2 linked regions of the Callithrix jacchus genome follow. The protein of the gene in region 1 interacts with the protein of each later gene in a pairwise test. Links are inferred from orthologs where the notes say so. Each region holds a gene or a part of one and is shown on either strand. Other genes may lie near its edges. The genes, in order: LATS1 and MOAP1.

Region 1 (8,615 bases):
AACATGGGATGCAACTGTTGAGAAATTCTATAAGACAAGGTGGCTTCTTAATAAAAACATTGTTTTAGCAGTAATGAATGGCTCTGGGCCTGGAGGAGGTGTTTATAGTTAAACACAGTATTTTGGCAGAGAAATATATACATTCATACCAAATGGGAACAATGAAAACTCAGTGGCTCACAATGCTTCAGGACCAATTTTCACTCTTTCTGATTCAGTAATAAAAACAGCCAGGCATGGTGACTTGTGCCTGTGGTTCTAGCTACTCAGGAGGCTGAACTGGAAGGATTGCTTGAGCCTGGGAGATGAAGGTTGCAGTGAGCCATGGTTGTACCAGTGCACTCCAGCCTGGGTGGCAGAGTGACACCCTGCCTCAAAAATAAATAAATAAATAATAATTTTTTAAAAACACCATAACTGTGGATTTTCCTTTGCCCTTCTATTTCCCTTTGTACAAATGGCTATTAGCATAGCCTAAAGCCTGCTGAGGCGGTGGCCCTCTCTGCCCAGTGCAGGCACCCTCAGATCCTACTCAGCAGGCTAACATCCTTGCTGTGAATGGGCCTCAAACTCATTCTCATTCATGGAAAAGACCCTGGCTCTTAGGTGGCACATTTTCCATGTATTGTGAATAGTAAGCCTGTTTTTGCCTCACCTCACCTTTCTTTTCTCTCTCTTTTTTTTTAAATGGAGTCGCTCTGTCACCCATACTGGAATGCAGTGGCCTGATCTCAGCTCACTGCAACTTTCACCTCCCAGGTTCAAGCAGTTCTGCCTCAGCCTCCCAAGTATCTAGGATTACAGACACACACCACCATACCTGGCTAATTTTTTTGTAATTTTAGTAGAGACAGGGTTTCGCCATGTAGGTCAGGCTGGTCTTGAACACCTGACCTCAAGTAGTCCATCCACCTTGATTTCCCAGAATGCTGGGGTTACAGGCAAGAATCATCGAGCCCAGCCTCTTCTGTTTTTATCTGTAATGACCACTGCCGAAAACTCTGAAGTTTTCATATATGTTGCTAACATCTTCTCAATTTCTAGCAGCCATATATAAAATTTCCGTTGATCATTATAAGTGAGTAAGTGGTAGAGGCTTTAAGGCTTTCAGGGTATTTGTAACCATAAGAGGAATACATTTTAACAGTGTTACATTTCATGCCAATTGACAAGTTCTGCCAATTTTAATAAGAAACTAAGCTATATGTAATATAACACCATAATTTATGAATCTGTTCATTGTCACTGCCTTTATTAAACTATAGTTTCTTTCAAGGGTTGCAGGTTCTTAGAGGTAGAAAGTACCTTGGCGAGCATCTCCAGCCTAAAATTCATGATTCCTTCTACAGTTTTCCCAACAAATTCCCAAAAAAGTATCATCTACCCTATACTTAAAAACATATGGTGGCTCACGCCTGTAATCCTAGCACTTTGGGAGGCCAAGGTGGGTGGGTCACCTGAGGTCAGGAGTTCAAGATCAGCCTGGCCAACATGCCAGAACCCGGTTGCTACTAAAAATGCAAAAATAAAGTAGCTGGGCATGGTGGCAGGCATCTATAATCTCAGCTACTCAGGAGGCTGAGGGAAGAGAATCGCTTGAACCCAGGGGTAGAGGTTGCAGTGAGCCGAGATCACACCACTTTACTCCAGCCTAGGCGAAAGAGTGAAACTGCATCTCAAAAAATATATGTATATATATGGTGATAAATATTCCCATTTTCCAATGAGGCTTCACATTTGAACAGCTCTAATTGATACAGCATTATGGCAGGATTTTAGTGTAAGAGTGGGACCCAAAACAATCCTGTAAAAAGGTACAGTCCTGGTGTAATGTTAACACACTGATCATGTGAGCCTATGAGATGAGCCAATCACCAATTACGTTATATTTGAATCTAATCTGTGTTGGGATCCTTTACCATAGGGTTTCACTAAATAAATGAATTTTCATATACTGAACTGAAATTTGCTTTCATTTGTCTTACCTCAGGAGCCACCCACACAAAATTCCTTTCATATTCAAATATTCAAAAGTGATTATTATAGTCTCTCCAGTGAAGGTTTCCTTCTTACTGTTTCTTGTCATTTTTGGCTAAATCCTTCTTATCCTTCAAGACTCCTTCTAGGTGTCATTTTCTCCAGACAGCTTTTACTGGCCTCCAGCAATCTGGACTAAGTTGCACTCTGCTTCAAAAGCCCATTGTGCAGAATTTAAATTGTGCTCAAAGCAATGTGTTAAGGAGCCTGTCTCCCCCTACTGGGCTACAAGATCAAGTGTATAGTGTTTAACAGTATCTGAACCATAGTAAGCAATGAATCACTATTAACTGACCTGAGCTAAACTCACAATCTTGTTGTCCCTTTAAAAAATACTCCTCTTTGTCAAAGGTCCTCTTTTTTTTCCTTCTTTTTTTGAGTCTAAGTCTCCCTCACCCAGGCTGGAGTGCAATGGCACGATCTCCGCTCACTGGAATCTCTGCTTCCCGGTTCAAGCGATTCTCCTGTCTCAGCCTCCCTAGTAGCACGGATTACAGGTGTGTGCCACCACACCCGGCTAATTTTTTTGTATTTTTAGTAGAGATGGGGTTTACCACATAGGCCAGGCTGGTCTCAAACTCCTGACCTCACGTGGTATACCTGCCACAGTCTCCCAAACTGCTGGGATTACAAGCATAAGTTACCACACTCGGCCAGAGGCCCTTTTAAGTGTGACTTCCAAGATAAACACTTTTTCATCATTGTCTTTGCTGATTATGACAGAAACCTTGCCATCGTTTTTCTAGGAATAATATTCCTTTGTAATGCTGTCTCCGCTTTCTGAAGTGTTCACATGTGATTCTCCTAAGCCACACTTCCTATATTCAGGAGTTAATACAGATGGTTTTTAATCCTTAATATGGGCCTATCCTTCTTGTTCTAAGAAAAATTTCATTTCAATATAGGAAAGGACTAACAATTTTCTTTGTATCTTTTGTAGAAGCTAATTATTTTCTACATAATTGGCCCAGCATGCTCTCTCCATTTTAATCCCATTGATTAGGAAAGATGTTTGAGACAAGATTTAACTCTCACTTAGGCCGGAGTGCAGTAGTGTGATCCCTGGTTCACTGCAGCCTTGACTTCCTGGGCCCAAGTGATTCTCCCACCTCGGTCTCCCAAGTATCTGGACTACAGACATGTACCACCAAGCCTGATTATTGTTTGCAATTTTTATTGAAATGGGGTTTCACTATATTGCCCAGGCTGGTCTTGAACTCCTGGACTCAAGCAATCTACTTGCCTTGGGGTCCCAAAGTGCTAAGCTGGAGTGCAGTGGTGCGGCTCACTGCAACCTCTACCTCCTTGATTCAAGAGATTCTCCTGCCTCAGCCTCCCGAGTAGCTGGGACTACAGGTGTGCACCACCATGCCCAACTAATTTTTGTATTTTTAGTAGAGACGGGGTTTCACTGTGTTGGCCATGCTGGTCTTGAACTCCTGACTTTGTGATCCGCCTGCCTGGCCTCCCAAAGTGCTGGGATTACAAGCGTGAGCCACCATGGCCAGCGGAACATAATCTTTTAACAGGTTTTCACATTTGGATTTCTGAATACAGTAAGCAGCCAGTTATTACTTTAACATCAGAAAAAGACGTCTGTAATTTTTTTGTAGTCTATAGTAGAAAAATTACGAAAGAAGTTACTTGAAAACACTATATTTTCTAGAGGAAAAACTGGCAAAGGCACTCTTCACAAAGGGTGGACAGTACCTTACACATCAAACCCAGTGATCCCATCCCAGATTTTCTATTCAACTTTACTAGAAGTAAAACCTCTTGTCTTGTCACACCGTCACCGTTATTCCAGTTAGGCAATAACGACCTCCTCCTACGGATGCAGTTGACAGGTCAGATCTCTAAACTCTGCTAATCGGTCCTGGCTCAAGAACTTCTTCTTGGCTGATTCAGAAAATACAGATGCTGGAACCTCATGGGCTTGTTCGGGGAAAGAACGCTAAGCAAGAATAAAATTTTATTTCAAAGCGCCAAAACTCGAATTTTGAGGTCCACAGCGAAGTTTCCCAGAACAACTCAACAGTTGTTCCCTTCGGAGAACGAAGCTCCGTGAAATGCGCATCCCTACTCGGTCCAGAGAAAGAGATCAATGGGAAAAAGGATTCAATCAACCGAGTGGGCTGGGCAGGAGAGAGCCTTAACCCACGGCCGCGGGCGAGTCTTCTGGGCAGGGCAGGCGGGAGCGACGTGGGGCGACGCTCACGAAGGCTCTGAGCGGCGGGCCACGCAACGAGGCCCAGAGGCCTCGGTTGCGCGCTCCCTAGCTGCTGCCGGGCGGGCAGAAGCCCCCAGTCTTCGGCCCCCGCGCAAGCGACGCCGGGAAATGCCCACATCCGGGAAACCTGCAACGGAGTGCGGCGGCGGCGACATTGAGTGGAAGGCAAAATGGCGGCGGCGGCAGTGGCCTGGTGTTAAGGGGAGAGCCAGGTCCTCGGGACCCCCGCGACGGGCCACAGTGGCCCGCGGCAGCCCTCCGGCGTCTCTACCCGCTCTGCCCCACCAGGGATACTTGGGGTTGCTGGGACGGGCTCCGGCCGTCTAGGCGCCCGCCCTCGGGCCGGTGGCCGCTGTCCAGGAGCTCTCCTTTCCCCTCCAGGTAGGTCCGGGGCTGGCGTAGCGGGTGGGGCTCACTTCTCCCGAGCTGGAGTTGGCGGGGCGGTGGCCGCTGGGGCCCACGCCCATCCCCGCTGGCGGGGGTCCAGAGGTTGCTGTGGACTGGCGGGCCGCGGCGGCCCGCTCCGGGCCTGACTGGGCTGGTTGCATTGACCTGAGCTGAGCCCTGCCCTGGGGAAGCGAGGGTTGGCCGCGCCCGGTGCTGCAGGAAGAGCCCCGGGCATTTCGGCCTCGGAAGTGCACGTTGGGCAGGGAAGAGCCTACCTTGCTGGCGGCCTTGCGCCGACTGTCTCCCACCCCACCCCCAAACGCGGGTCGGCGGTGTCCACAGGGAAGGAACGGGAAAGGTGGTTCTGAAGGAAATTTGCAGTGAAAGAGCTACAGTTTTTTGAATCCCAGAGGGCTCTGATCCTGGGTGTATCTTGAAGAAATCCTGGGAGTCTCTTATTTCTAGTTCAATGTGATAAAGGTTACTGTTCATAGTTGGAAATGGTGGGAGAGGTGGAGAGGTCTTTACGGAGTAGGGGTGTGTATATAAATACAGAAAATGAAGGAACGACAATTTAGGGAACAGCGTTTTTTATAACCTGAAAGGGCTTGTAGCTCAATGAATGACTTCCAGATGACTTAATCCCCATTCTGACTTCTCTGTCAATTTCTAATGGAACATAATTTAATGTTTGTCAACTCATATGTTAATACAACTTATAAAACATATATCATCCTCCAGAAGTTATTCATAAATCTTGTGAACAGTAAGTATAGTCTCCTGCACAGAAATAATACTGTATAACTCCAGTTTTGGAAATGAATTTGAATGTTAGTGATCATGAAGCTTGTCAGACCTTTACGAATTGTTTATTGAAGGTTAAAAATTTTTATCCATTTTCCTTCATGAGGAAGAAAAGGTAGGACATTATAGTTGGAATGAATGTTCTCTGCTACGAAAACAAAGCTTATCTCTGATGGTAAAATGGGGTAGTTGATTCCCTAAGGCAGTGGAAGAGTTTGAACAGTGAAAGAAGTAGCATTGTGTTAGTTCCATTGGCTGCTACTGCAAGAAACTAGATCATGGTCCATTCCTGGAACAGCACATTCTGTGCCTAAATATTGATTGAATATGACTTGTTGCTCTCCAAAAACAAGTAAAAAAAATTTTTTTGGCTGTATTTTAAATGTATAATATCTGGCTTTCATTGTGTAGGTCGTTTTTATTTTTGTTTTTATTGCTAGTCCTTGTTATGCTGTATACATAGTCTTGGAATGGTTCTAACTCTGGTTATTTATTCTAGATGTTTTATTTATATTAGTGGGAGATTGTTATACATCACAAAAGTTAGTCATTGAATAACATTTCCACCAAGTAGAAGCAGCAGTCCTTTTTCAGCATTTTTCACTTTTGATCCCACAATTATTAGAAAGTGAACAGAAGAAAATGTCAGTATCCAGTTTCCTGAATATCGCTGTTTATACGAATGAGACTATGCTGCTAAAAAAAGAAACAGCACATATTATTGTTGCTGTCCTTATTACTGATCTGGTCAAAGCTATGACATAGTCATCTTTTTTTTTTTTTAAATGGGGACTCGCTATGTTGCCTGTGCTGGATTCCAACTCCTGGGCTTGAACAGTCCTCCCACCACAGCCTCTCAAGTAGCTGGGACTACAGGCGCACTACTGCACCCAGCTAGGGTACCTTTCTGATAAACTTAATTCAACCCAATCTTATGTAATGGTACCTGTTTTTTTCCAAAGTTGGACAAACTAATGGATGATACTTGTTTGTCGTTTGTATTTTTGATGAGGGTCTGAACTTTAAAAAATAATAATAAGGCCAGGCGTGGTGGCTCAAGCCTGTAATCCCAGCACTTTGGGAGGCCGAGGCGGATGGATCATGAGGTCAAGAGATCGAGACCTTCCTGGTCAACATGATGAAACCTCATCTCTACTAAAAATACAAAAAAAATTAGCTGGGTATGGTGGCGCGTGCCTGTAATCCCAGCTACTCAGGAGGCTGAGGCAGGAGAATTGCCTGAACCCAGGAGGCGGAGGTTGCGGTGAGCCGAGATCGCACCATTGCACTTCAGCCTGGATAACAAGAGTGAAACTCCGTCTCAAAAAAAAAATAGAGATTTGTCATACCCAGGCAGTTTGATTCCAGAGCTCTTACTTTTAACGATTAGGTTAAAAATCATTGAAAGTTACGGAGTAGCTGGGCATGGTGGCTCACGCCTGTAATCCCAGCACTTTGGGAGGCCGAGGCAGGCAGATCACAAGGTCAGAAGATTGAGATCATCCTGGCCAATACAGTGAAACCCTGTCTTTAAAAAAAAAAAAAAAGATGGTGAAACATCTCTACTAAAAATACAAAAAAATAGCTGTGTATAATGGTGTGTGCCTGTAATCCCAGCTACTTGGGAGGCTGAGGCAGGAGAATTGCTTGAACCCAGGAGGTGAAGGTTGCAGTGAGCAGAGATCATGCCACTGCACTCCAAGCTGGGCCACAGAGCAAGACTCTGTCTCAAAAAAAGAGAAAATAATACAATTGAGGTAACAAGGAGATTTCGTCTTTTATTTATGGCTAAGTTACGCACGTGCAATGACCGCTACTCCAGAACTTCTCTGCTGTGGACCTGAAAAATATCTTTTAACGTTGATCTCAAGATATACTCTATTTATTTATTTTTTGTGGGACAGAGTTCGAGTCTTGCTCTGATGCTTAGGCTGGAGAGTGTAGTAGCACAGTCACGGCTCACTGCAGCCTCAGCCTCCCCAGTAGCTGGGACTGCAGGTGCACACCAACATACTTGGCTGTGTTTTGTTTTTTTTTTTTTTTTTTTTTCTATTTTTTGTAGAGACAGGGTCTCCCTTTGTTGCTCAGGCTAATCTCAAACAGCTGGGATCAAGAGATCCACCCACTTCAGCCTTTAAAAGTTTTGGGATTACAGTCATGAGCCACTGCACCTGGCCCTAAATTTTAGAAATATTAAAATGTAGAACAGCATGCTTAGAATCAAACAAACATGATACTGGCCAAGCATGGTGGCTCACGCCTGTAATCCCAACACTTTGGAAGGCCAAGGTGGGAGCATCGCTTGAGGCCAGGAGTTTGAGACCAGCCTCATCAATAGAGATGAGAGACCCTCATTTCTATTTAAAAATAAATAAAATAAAAAGAAACATGACACCTATTACTGTGGAATGATGTTCCTGGTATTATGTTATTCTTTTGCTAACAAATAGGACCCTAATCAGTGACAGAGGCAAGATTCATAGGTCCTTTGGTCCACATGCCCAAATCTCTTAATCAGGTCCAGATATGGTTCCTCTTGCTCCAGGGACCTGTGAAGTAATGTGTCCTGTGTGTCATGTGTATGCTCTCTTGCTGTCTCTCTCTCACTGTATCTCTTTCTCTCTATCTCTCTTCCTTTTCTCTTCCCCTTACTCACCACAGTACACAAGAGTAGAATACTGCTAGGAAGGCCACAGTAAGCCGTACTCCTAGAAAAGGAGACTAATGAGAGATAAGCAGCAGATTCTGTGTAAGCAACCAGTCCTGGAGGTAGGGGAGATTGGACCTTGATTTATTTGGAAGGAACTCTCTCATCGTTTTCCATGACCTGTGAAGTGTGTGTTGGGTGAGTATCCTCCCTTTGGAAAGTACAAATCTTTCTCAACTAGCTTGTTGTTCTTAGAAGTTGGGTGCCAAAGGGTTTTAAATTTTGAATAGACAAAGAGTTTTTTAGTCTGAACTTGAGATGATTTAAGAAAAAAATTTTTTTTTTTTTTGAGATGGAGTCTTACTCATTTGGTTATTTGAGGCTATTAGGTTTGACAGGAAGGCTACATCCTTAAGGTGTTCTTTATCCCTGAAGCAGTAGTTAGCTAAGAGTTTTCAGCAGATATCTGTACTCAGTCTTCATCCTGCCTCTGCAGGTCTAGGTGCAAGT
Region 2 (8,226 bases), on another chromosome or scaffold:
ACAGTTGGCTTAGCTACAACAGAATGAATTGGTGTGTTTTAGTGTGAAGAATTTTAAAGCAAACCAAGTAATTGTATAAAATTTAAATTTTATGATCATGTCTGGACCTTTTTACACTTAACACAATGGAAATGTTCATATGCATTTTTTTCCCCAAAGGAAAAATTTCTGAATCATCACTATGTTGCACAGTAGAATAGAAATATGAATTCAGGTACTTAGTCAAGTTTCTAAAGAATGCAAATAACAGATAAGATTTAACTTCCAAAGTCTAAAGTCATCAACATGATTTTGTAGTACTCTATCTCAGGCTTTACCTAAAAATTCATTATTCAGATAAAGATAGCCCCCCAATCACATGTTTTTAAAAAGCCTCTGCCCCACCACAACTTCCTGAGATCTGTGAAGAAACTACAGTCTTGTGATCAGACTCCATATAGTACTGGCAGTTTTGTAATCAGGGAAAAAACGGTGACTGATTTTATGTGTCAATCAGTTGTAGTCTGCTGATCTGATTAGATGCCTTGACAAATGCCTGGTGGCGATTGCAAATAACTGCCAAACATATAGGGATGATACAGTAGCCCACTGTTTTGGGATCAGCTCTTGTACAAGAGTAAAGGAACAAAAACATCTGTAAGTAAGGTACCAGAAAAATAATTGTCCACAGCCAAAAAGGCAAGGAGAGTAATCGAGCTTTCAAGGAGTGCGTCCATGTGGTTCCTTCAAGGGGCTCCTCAGGGTGCTGTTGAATGTGTTCCAATGCCAGCCTGTTGTAAGTCTCATTAATTTCAAAAACATAGTAAAATGCTGCTGCACTGGCTAACAGATATAATCCCACTCCAATCCATCCCATCCGCTGACGGAAGTTCATCATTCTCCATGCTCTGTGCCTTCAAATTAAAAAAAAAAATACAATTAGGGTCTAGTAATGCTGTCATGGCAACTATTCCAAATGTACTTGCTGTATCTCCAAGAATTCTAAAATATTCCACTAACACACTTAAGATTTAAAATAATTAAATGTAACACCTATTAAGAAATGTAAAACTTGCAGGTTGTTTTATGTAATAGTTACAAGCAAGTAAAAAAAAACTGATTTCAGTATACATTGAGTTTTTTTTTTTTTTTTTTTTTTTTTTTTTTTTTTTTTTTTTGAGAGTCTTGCTCTGTTGCCCAGGCTGGAGTGCAGTGGCACGATCTCGGCTCACTGCAACCTCCATCTCCTGGGTTCAAGCAGTTCTCCTACCTCATCCTCCCGAGTAGCTGGTATTACAGGTGCCTGCCCCCACGCCCAGCTAATTTTTGTAATTTTAGGAAAGACGGGGTTTCACCACGTTGGCCAGGCTGGTCTCAAACTCTTGACCTCAGGTTATTCTCCCGCCTCGGACTCCCAAAGTGCTGAGATTAAAGGTGTGAGCCACCGCCGAGTTCTGCTTTTTAATGGGAATCCCACAGAATAAACAGGTTCTACTTAAACAGGTTCAGAATACCCGCCCTCCAGAAACTGGAATTAAGCTAGTTTCCCACAGCACATTTCACTTTGACAGTTAAAATACTTTCTGGCTTAACAGTACTGCTTCAGACGTGAACACGGGGTGCTACAAGTCAAGACCCCAAGTTAATAACTCCTAAGCACTTACAATGGTCCCGAAAATCTTCCTGTTCCCACGGCAAGCGTTAAAGAGTCATTCAGCTCTGAATAATCGGGTGGCTTTGGCATTTCAGAGAAAGCCACCATAAAAATAAATCCCCTGGGTCACCCGGCTCAGAGAGAGGTGAGCGCCGCCAGCCCGAAGCACCAGCTACTAATGATTAAGAACGGCGTGACTGCGGCGGGTCACGCGCTGCCCGGTTCCCGTCGCCGCCGCCGGGGCCCCACTCTGGGAACCCGACCCGGCCGGGAGGCGTCCCAGCCACCTGGGCCTCCCGGCGGCCGGCCCCGCCCCCTACTGAGCTGCAGCACCTGCACGCAGCGACCAGGGCTGTGCAGGCGACGCCAGGCCGCGGCCTCGCCGCCCTGCAGCGCCGCGAGTTCAGCGCCAGTCAGCGGCCGCCGGCAGAGCCTGCCTGCAAAGCTGAGATCCCGGATCTCACCTTCCTGTCCCGGGTGGCCAGCCCGCCCGCCGTCCCGGATACCGCCGCAGTCGGGGCTTCCGGCTCGGGCCGGAAGCGCACGCGCCCCGCCCCCGGAGGCCCGCCCCGCTCATGACGTCAGAGCGCCTCTGCCAGACGCACAGCTTCTCGGAGCGAGAACAAAGCGGCCGAAGTTGGGGCTTGATACCCGGCTCTGGCGTTGCAGGTGGCAGCGCGTCCCTTCAGGCGGGCGGTTGTCTGGGCCTGGCGACTCAGCGCTCTTCAGCCTTGCCCTCTGGTTCCCGCTCGTGACTGTCATCGCCCCATCACTCCTTGCTGCGGAGAGCATCGCAGGGACTTGGAGGACCGGCATCGATCGCTTTGGCCCGCGAGTGTCCGTCCGAGCCGAGGGGAGCCCGCCTTCCCGCCCCTTCTCTGGGCCTGGCCAGGCACCTTGCCCGCCGTCGCACAGACGCGAGCACGGAGCAGTAGATCACGGTGAGGCGAAACAAGCCCGGAGCGGCCCTGTAGGCCGGACAACCGCTACGCAGTTGGGCTGGGCGGGGGGAGGGGCGCACGCCGCAATGCGGCAGACATGGCGTCGCCGCGGGGTGCAGGTCCCTCGGGGCTTAAGGCCTGCACGTTGGCACCTTTAGCTAACCCGTCTGCTCTGTCTTGCAGGCTGCTGGACCTCGCCACGTTGAGGAGATTTCTCTGGGGTACCGCGGAGGATTACTTTGAATTGCGGTGGCTACCTGTGGTCTGGAATATTTAGAACTTAAGTCTATTATTTCGGGCACCATGAGTTTGAGGCTTTTAGAAGACTGGTGCCGGGGGATGGACATGAGCCCTCGGAAAGCGCTGCTGATTGCCGGCATCCCCGAGAGCTGCAGTGTGGCAGAAATCGAGGAGGCTCTGCAGGCTGGTTTAGCTCCCCTAGGGGAGTATAGACTGCTTGGAAGGATGTTCAGGAGGGATGAGAACTGCAAAGTAGCCCTAGTTGGGCTTGCTGCGGAGACTAGTCGTGCACTGGTCCCTAAGGAGATACCGGGAAAAGGGGGTATCTGGAGAGTGCTCTTTAAGACCCCCGACCCAGATAATGATTTCCTAAGCAGATTAAATGAATTTTTAGAGGGAGAGGGCATGACAATGGGTGAGTTGACCAGAGCTCTTAGATATGAAAATGGCTCCTTAGACCTAGGGCAGGGCATGATCCCAGAAATGTGGGCCCCTATGTTGGCACAGGCATTAAATGAGGCTCTTGAGCCTGCCCTGCAGTACTTCCACTATAAAAAGCTGAGCGTGTTCTCAGGCAGTGATTCTCCAGAACCGGAAGAAGAAGAATTTGAACCCTGGCTGTTTCATACTACTCAGATGTTAAAGGTGTGGGAGGTGTCAGATGCAGAGAAGAGAAGGCGAGTGCTAGAGAGCCTTCGAGGCCCAGCACTTGATGTTATTCGTGTCCTCAAGATAAACAATCCTTTAATTACTGTTGATGAATGCCTGCAGGCTCTTGAGCAGGTATTTGGGGTTACAGATAGTCCTAGAGAGTTGCATGACAAATTTCTAAACACTTACCAGAAGGAGGAAGAAAAGTTATCTGATTATGTACTAAGGCTGGAGCCTTTGTTACAGAAGCTGGTACAGAAAGGAGCAATTGAGAGAGATGCTGTGAATCAGGCCCGCCTAGACCAAGTCATTGCTGGGGCAGTCCACAGAACAGTTCGCAGAGAGCTTAATCTGCCGGAGGATGGCCCAGCCCCTAGTTTATTGCAGTTACTGGTACTAATAAAGGATTATGAAGCAGCTGAGGAGGAGGAGGCCCTTCTCCAGGCAGTATTAGACGGGCATTTCACCTGAATCTCAGGGAATCACGAAGGGATATAGCAATGAGCAGAGCATGAAAGTAGAACAGTCTGTACTCTTGTGACACATAAAATCCCTGCCTTGTGCTGCCAAGTTACTCGTTTTTGTGCAGTTGTCAGTATAAGCCCTTTGTTATTTCTGTGCCTATTTAAGATCTAAAGGTGTCAGTGACCAGGAAGGATGTAGTTCTACACTGCTGTTTACCTATTTAAATTCATTCCTGTGAATATCTTGTTTGTTGTCGTTGAGACTGAGTCTTGCTCTGTCGCACAGGCTGGAATGCAGTGACGCAATCTTGACCCACTGCACGCTCCACCTCCCGGGTTTAAGTGATTCTCCTGCCCCAGTCTCCTGAGTAGCTGGGACTACAGGTGTGTGCTGCCACACCCAGCTAATTTTTGTACTTTCGGTAGAGACAGGGTTTCACCATGTTGGCCAGGCTGGTCTCGAACCCCTGACCTCAAGTGATCAACCTGCCTCGGCCTCCAAAAGTGCTGGGATTATAGGTGTGAGCCACCGTGCCTGGCTTCATCCCTGTGAATTTCTTATTGTACAAAAGTTCTTTAACTACCTGTGTACAGTGCTCTGAGGGGACAGACAAGGCTCAGGTGCATATGCTGATCAAATCTCATTGAACTGTCAGCTTGTTTGGTACCAAGTGCAAGTGTGCCATGTCACATGTGACCATGTTGGATCATTAACAATTTTTAGGTATGTGCTAACCTACATTTATGGTGTAGATTATGAGTGGAGGTTAAGATACTAAGTTATTATCTGTATGAATCAGAATTATATTGATTCTGTACAAAAACAAAAGACAGAATTGAATGCTGATTTAAGTTTGCAGTGACCATCTTTAACCACAGATTTCTGCTATGTGTTACCAAAATATCTAGTTCTGAGTATCATTTTCACAATTGTTATGAAATTATAGGTGTGAACTTCTAAAATAAAAGAATGCTAATAAAATGATTTTGTCTGTTTTGTTTATATCAGGGTTCCAAGAGAGATTTCATTTGAATAAAGAGTTCCCAGAGCATTAATCTGCAAACCACTGAACCTACACAGACTTAGTTCCCAGGATTCTTTCCACTTGGTGCTGAGGGGTAGGAAATTGTTTTCTAAGTGAGATTGCTGAGGGGACCTTCTGCTGAAGCAGTAAAACAATTATATTACTGCTTCTACTGTAATATTAACTGACATGCACTCTGAATAGATTAGAAGGTGTAATTCTGATCTTGTTTATATATGTGTAGTCATTTGGAGCATACAGGCACTGTGACATGGGCCACTCACTTGCCCCCTCAGTAGTGGGAAGCAGACATGGTGAATTTGTGCACAAACAAGTGTTAATATGTGTTGCACCTCTCCATCTGTGAGGCACTAAGCTGAGGGCTTAAGACTGCGTCATTACATTTAGACTACAGTCCCTGCCCTGGAGGTCAGTGATGATAGCTCTGTTGAACACCAGATACGGAGCACCAGTGAACACGTTTGGTGCCCCCACAAGCTCAGTCTTTTATTTTCCCCATTGTACGTATGAGACTGAGAAGCTAAGTAACTTGCCCAGGGTTTCACAGCTAGTGAGTGGCAAGGCTCAGACACTTCCAGAGTTTTTGATCTTAATGTATTCCGTGCTGCCTTATTCAGAAACCTACTGTTTCCCCATTTTACAGATGAGAAGCTTGAGGATCAGAAAGATTCAATGCCAGGGGCAAGGGCTCATAGTGTGATTCCACAAAGCCGTTATTAAGGTGTTCTGACATGTATCTGGTAAACACTACCTAATTTTTGTTTGTTTATGGAATCATGTAAAATAAAATACACTCCCCTTAAATAGCTATGTTTCAACTGGGCGTGGTGGCTCACGCCTGTAATCCCAACACTTTGGGAGGCCCAGGTAAGTGAATCACCTGAGGTCAGGAGTTTGAGACCAGCCTGGCCAACATGGTGAAACCCTGTCCCTAAGAAAAATACAAAAAATTAGCTGGGCATGGTGGCGGGTGCCTGTAATCCCATCTACTTCGGAGGCTGAGGCAGGAGAATTGCTTGAGCCCAGGAGGTGGAGGCTGCAGTGAGCCGAGCTTGTGCCACTCTCCAGCCTAGGTGACAGAGCGAGACTCCACCTCAAAAAGAAAGAAAAGAAAGGAAACCATCGCAGATCACAGACTAGAGACTAAGGATAGAGGTGGTGAACTAAATGTAATGTGTCCCAGAAGGGATCTTGGAACAGATAAAGGGCATGAGTGGAAGAGTGGGATCCAAGTGTACTTAGGAAGTCAGAGCTAACAGTAATGTGCCAATGTCAGTTTCCTGGAGGAGCCAAATGTACCATGGAAATGTGAAGTAACAATTGGGGAAAGTAGGTGAGAATACAGGCGCTCTCTGCACTCTTTCTAACTTATCTGTAAGCCTAAAACTGCTATAAATAAATAAAATGTTCATTGAAATACATACATATCTTGGGTTCCTAGGTGTTTCAGCAAAAAGAGTAAAAAATAAAATTTAAAAAAGAAGGGCTGGGTGTGGTGGCTCACGCCTATAATCCCAGCACTGGGAGCCGGGGCAGGTGGATCATTTGAGCCCAGGAGTTCAAGGCCGACCAGGCCAACACAGTGAAACCCCATCTCTACAAAACCTCATGTGATGGCGCGTGTTTGTGGTCCCAACTACTTGGGAGGCTGAGGTGGGAGGAGCTCTTGAGGTGGGAAGTCGAGGCTGCAGTGAGCCGAGATCGCACCACTGCAATCCATCCAGCCTGAGCGACAGAGCAAGACCCTGCTCAAAAATAAAAATAAAAAATCTATGTAGATACACACATATGGACAGATGCATGCTAATAGCAAATGACCTGGGATGCCAACCAGTAAAATAAGTTGTTTCATTCATTGAAACACCACTAGGTGGCAGTTAGCACAAAGAGCAGGCCCCAGCCAAGCCAAAGCAGGGAAAGGGATTCTTACGTAAACAGGGTCCTATCTAACCCCGGACAACTAGAACATTACTCAAGCTTTTATGCAGAAAATATTTTTCAGTACTCAGTCTAGGACAATGACTTCTCTCTTTAAGGTTCATGATACTTCTAAAATTTTCTAATTCACTGGTAAGAGAGGCCTGACCTCAGCAAATGGATTGATCCCGGTCTGTTTAATTGAGAACATTCTTCGTGATTCCACTTCATTCTCAGCCACAGCTTCTCTCGACACTGGAAACCAGATCAACCTCTGAAAGTCACTTATTTTAAAGACAATAAAATTGAGGTTCAAAGCACTACGGAGCTATGGTGGGTTCCCACAGGCTCTCCTTCTGCCACAGCCAGCCAGCCTCACTCAGCTTTTAGAGGTGTCAGATTTTTGTTTTGTTTTTTTGAGACCAAGTCTTACTCTGTCACCCAGGCTGGAATGCAGTCTAAGCTCACTGCAACCTCTGCCTCCCGGGTTCAAGCAATTCTCCTGCCTCAGCCTCCCAAGTAGCTGGGATTACAGGTACCCACCATCATTCCTGGCTAATTTTTGTATTTCTGTAGAGACAAGTTTTCTCCATGTTGGCCAGGCTGGTCCTGAACTCCTGACCTCAGGTGATCTGCCCACCTCAGCCTCCCGAAGTGCTGATTACAGGCATGAGCCTGGCCTGTGCTCTCTTTTAGCTCTAAAACTCTGGGACTCAGAGGATTATTTTGAGTAACTTTAAACTATAAACTGGGCCGGGTGCGGAGGCACACACCTGTAATCCCAGCACTTGGGGAGGCCTAGGCAGGCAGATCACTAGAGCTCATGAGTTTGAGACCAGCCAGGCCAATGAGGTGAAACCCCATTTCTACTAAAAATACAAAAAAATTAGTTGGAAGTGGTGGTGCATGCCTGTAATCCCAGCTACACAGGAGGCTGAGGTGGGAGAATCGCTTGAAGCGGGGAGGCAGAGGTTGCAGGGAGCCAAGATCACACCAGTGTACTCCAGCCTAGGTGACAGAGCAAGACTCTTGTCTTAAAAAAATAAATAAGTAAACTATAAACTGACTCTAAGTTCTTAATATTTGTCATTTGATATGCATTTCCAAATATTATCAGCATGTCTTTTCATGAGTATCTGTTTTAACTCTCTAACTAGATTCTTTTTTTTTTTTGAGACAGAGTTTTGCTGTTGTTACCCAGACTGGAGTGCAATGGCACAATCTCGGCTAACTGCAACCTCCGACTCCTGGGTTCAAGCAATTCTCCTGCCTCAGCCTCCCGAGTAGCTGGGACTACAGGCGCGCACCACCATGCCCAGCTAATTTTTGTATTT

The links.
Region 2: the proteins of LATS1 (region 1) and MOAP1 interact in a two-hybrid assay, tested with the Homo sapiens proteins (2 studies listed by BioGRID and IntAct). The two-hybrid records come from large-scale screens. The link is inferred for Callithrix jacchus from reciprocal best matches to the Homo sapiens genes LATS1 and MOAP1.

Annotation. Positions count from the first base shown.
Region 1 is NC_133505.1:156,494,770-156,503,384, reverse strand, and holds the start of LATS1 (serine/threonine-protein kinase LATS1), read left to right. Parts: upstream 1-4,417; 5' UTR 4,418-4,648; exon of another isoform or gene 4,649-4,994; intron 4,995-8,119; 5' UTR 8,120-8,303; intron 8,304-8,615. UniProt on the Homo sapiens protein: Negative regulator of YAP1 in the Hippo signaling pathway that plays a pivotal role in organ size control and tumor suppression by restricting proliferation and promoting apoptosis.
Region 2 is NC_133509.1:127,993,177-128,001,402, reverse strand, and holds MOAP1 (modulator of apoptosis 1), read left to right. Parts: upstream 1-2,805; 5' UTR 2,806-2,877; coding exon 2,878-3,936; 3' UTR 3,937-4,911; downstream 4,912-8,226. Other genes in the region: LYSET (lysosomal enzyme trafficking factor), read right to left, coding at 482-893, 1,644-1,741; uncharacterized protein LOC103795890, read left to right, coding at 1,812-2,574, 2,758-2,780.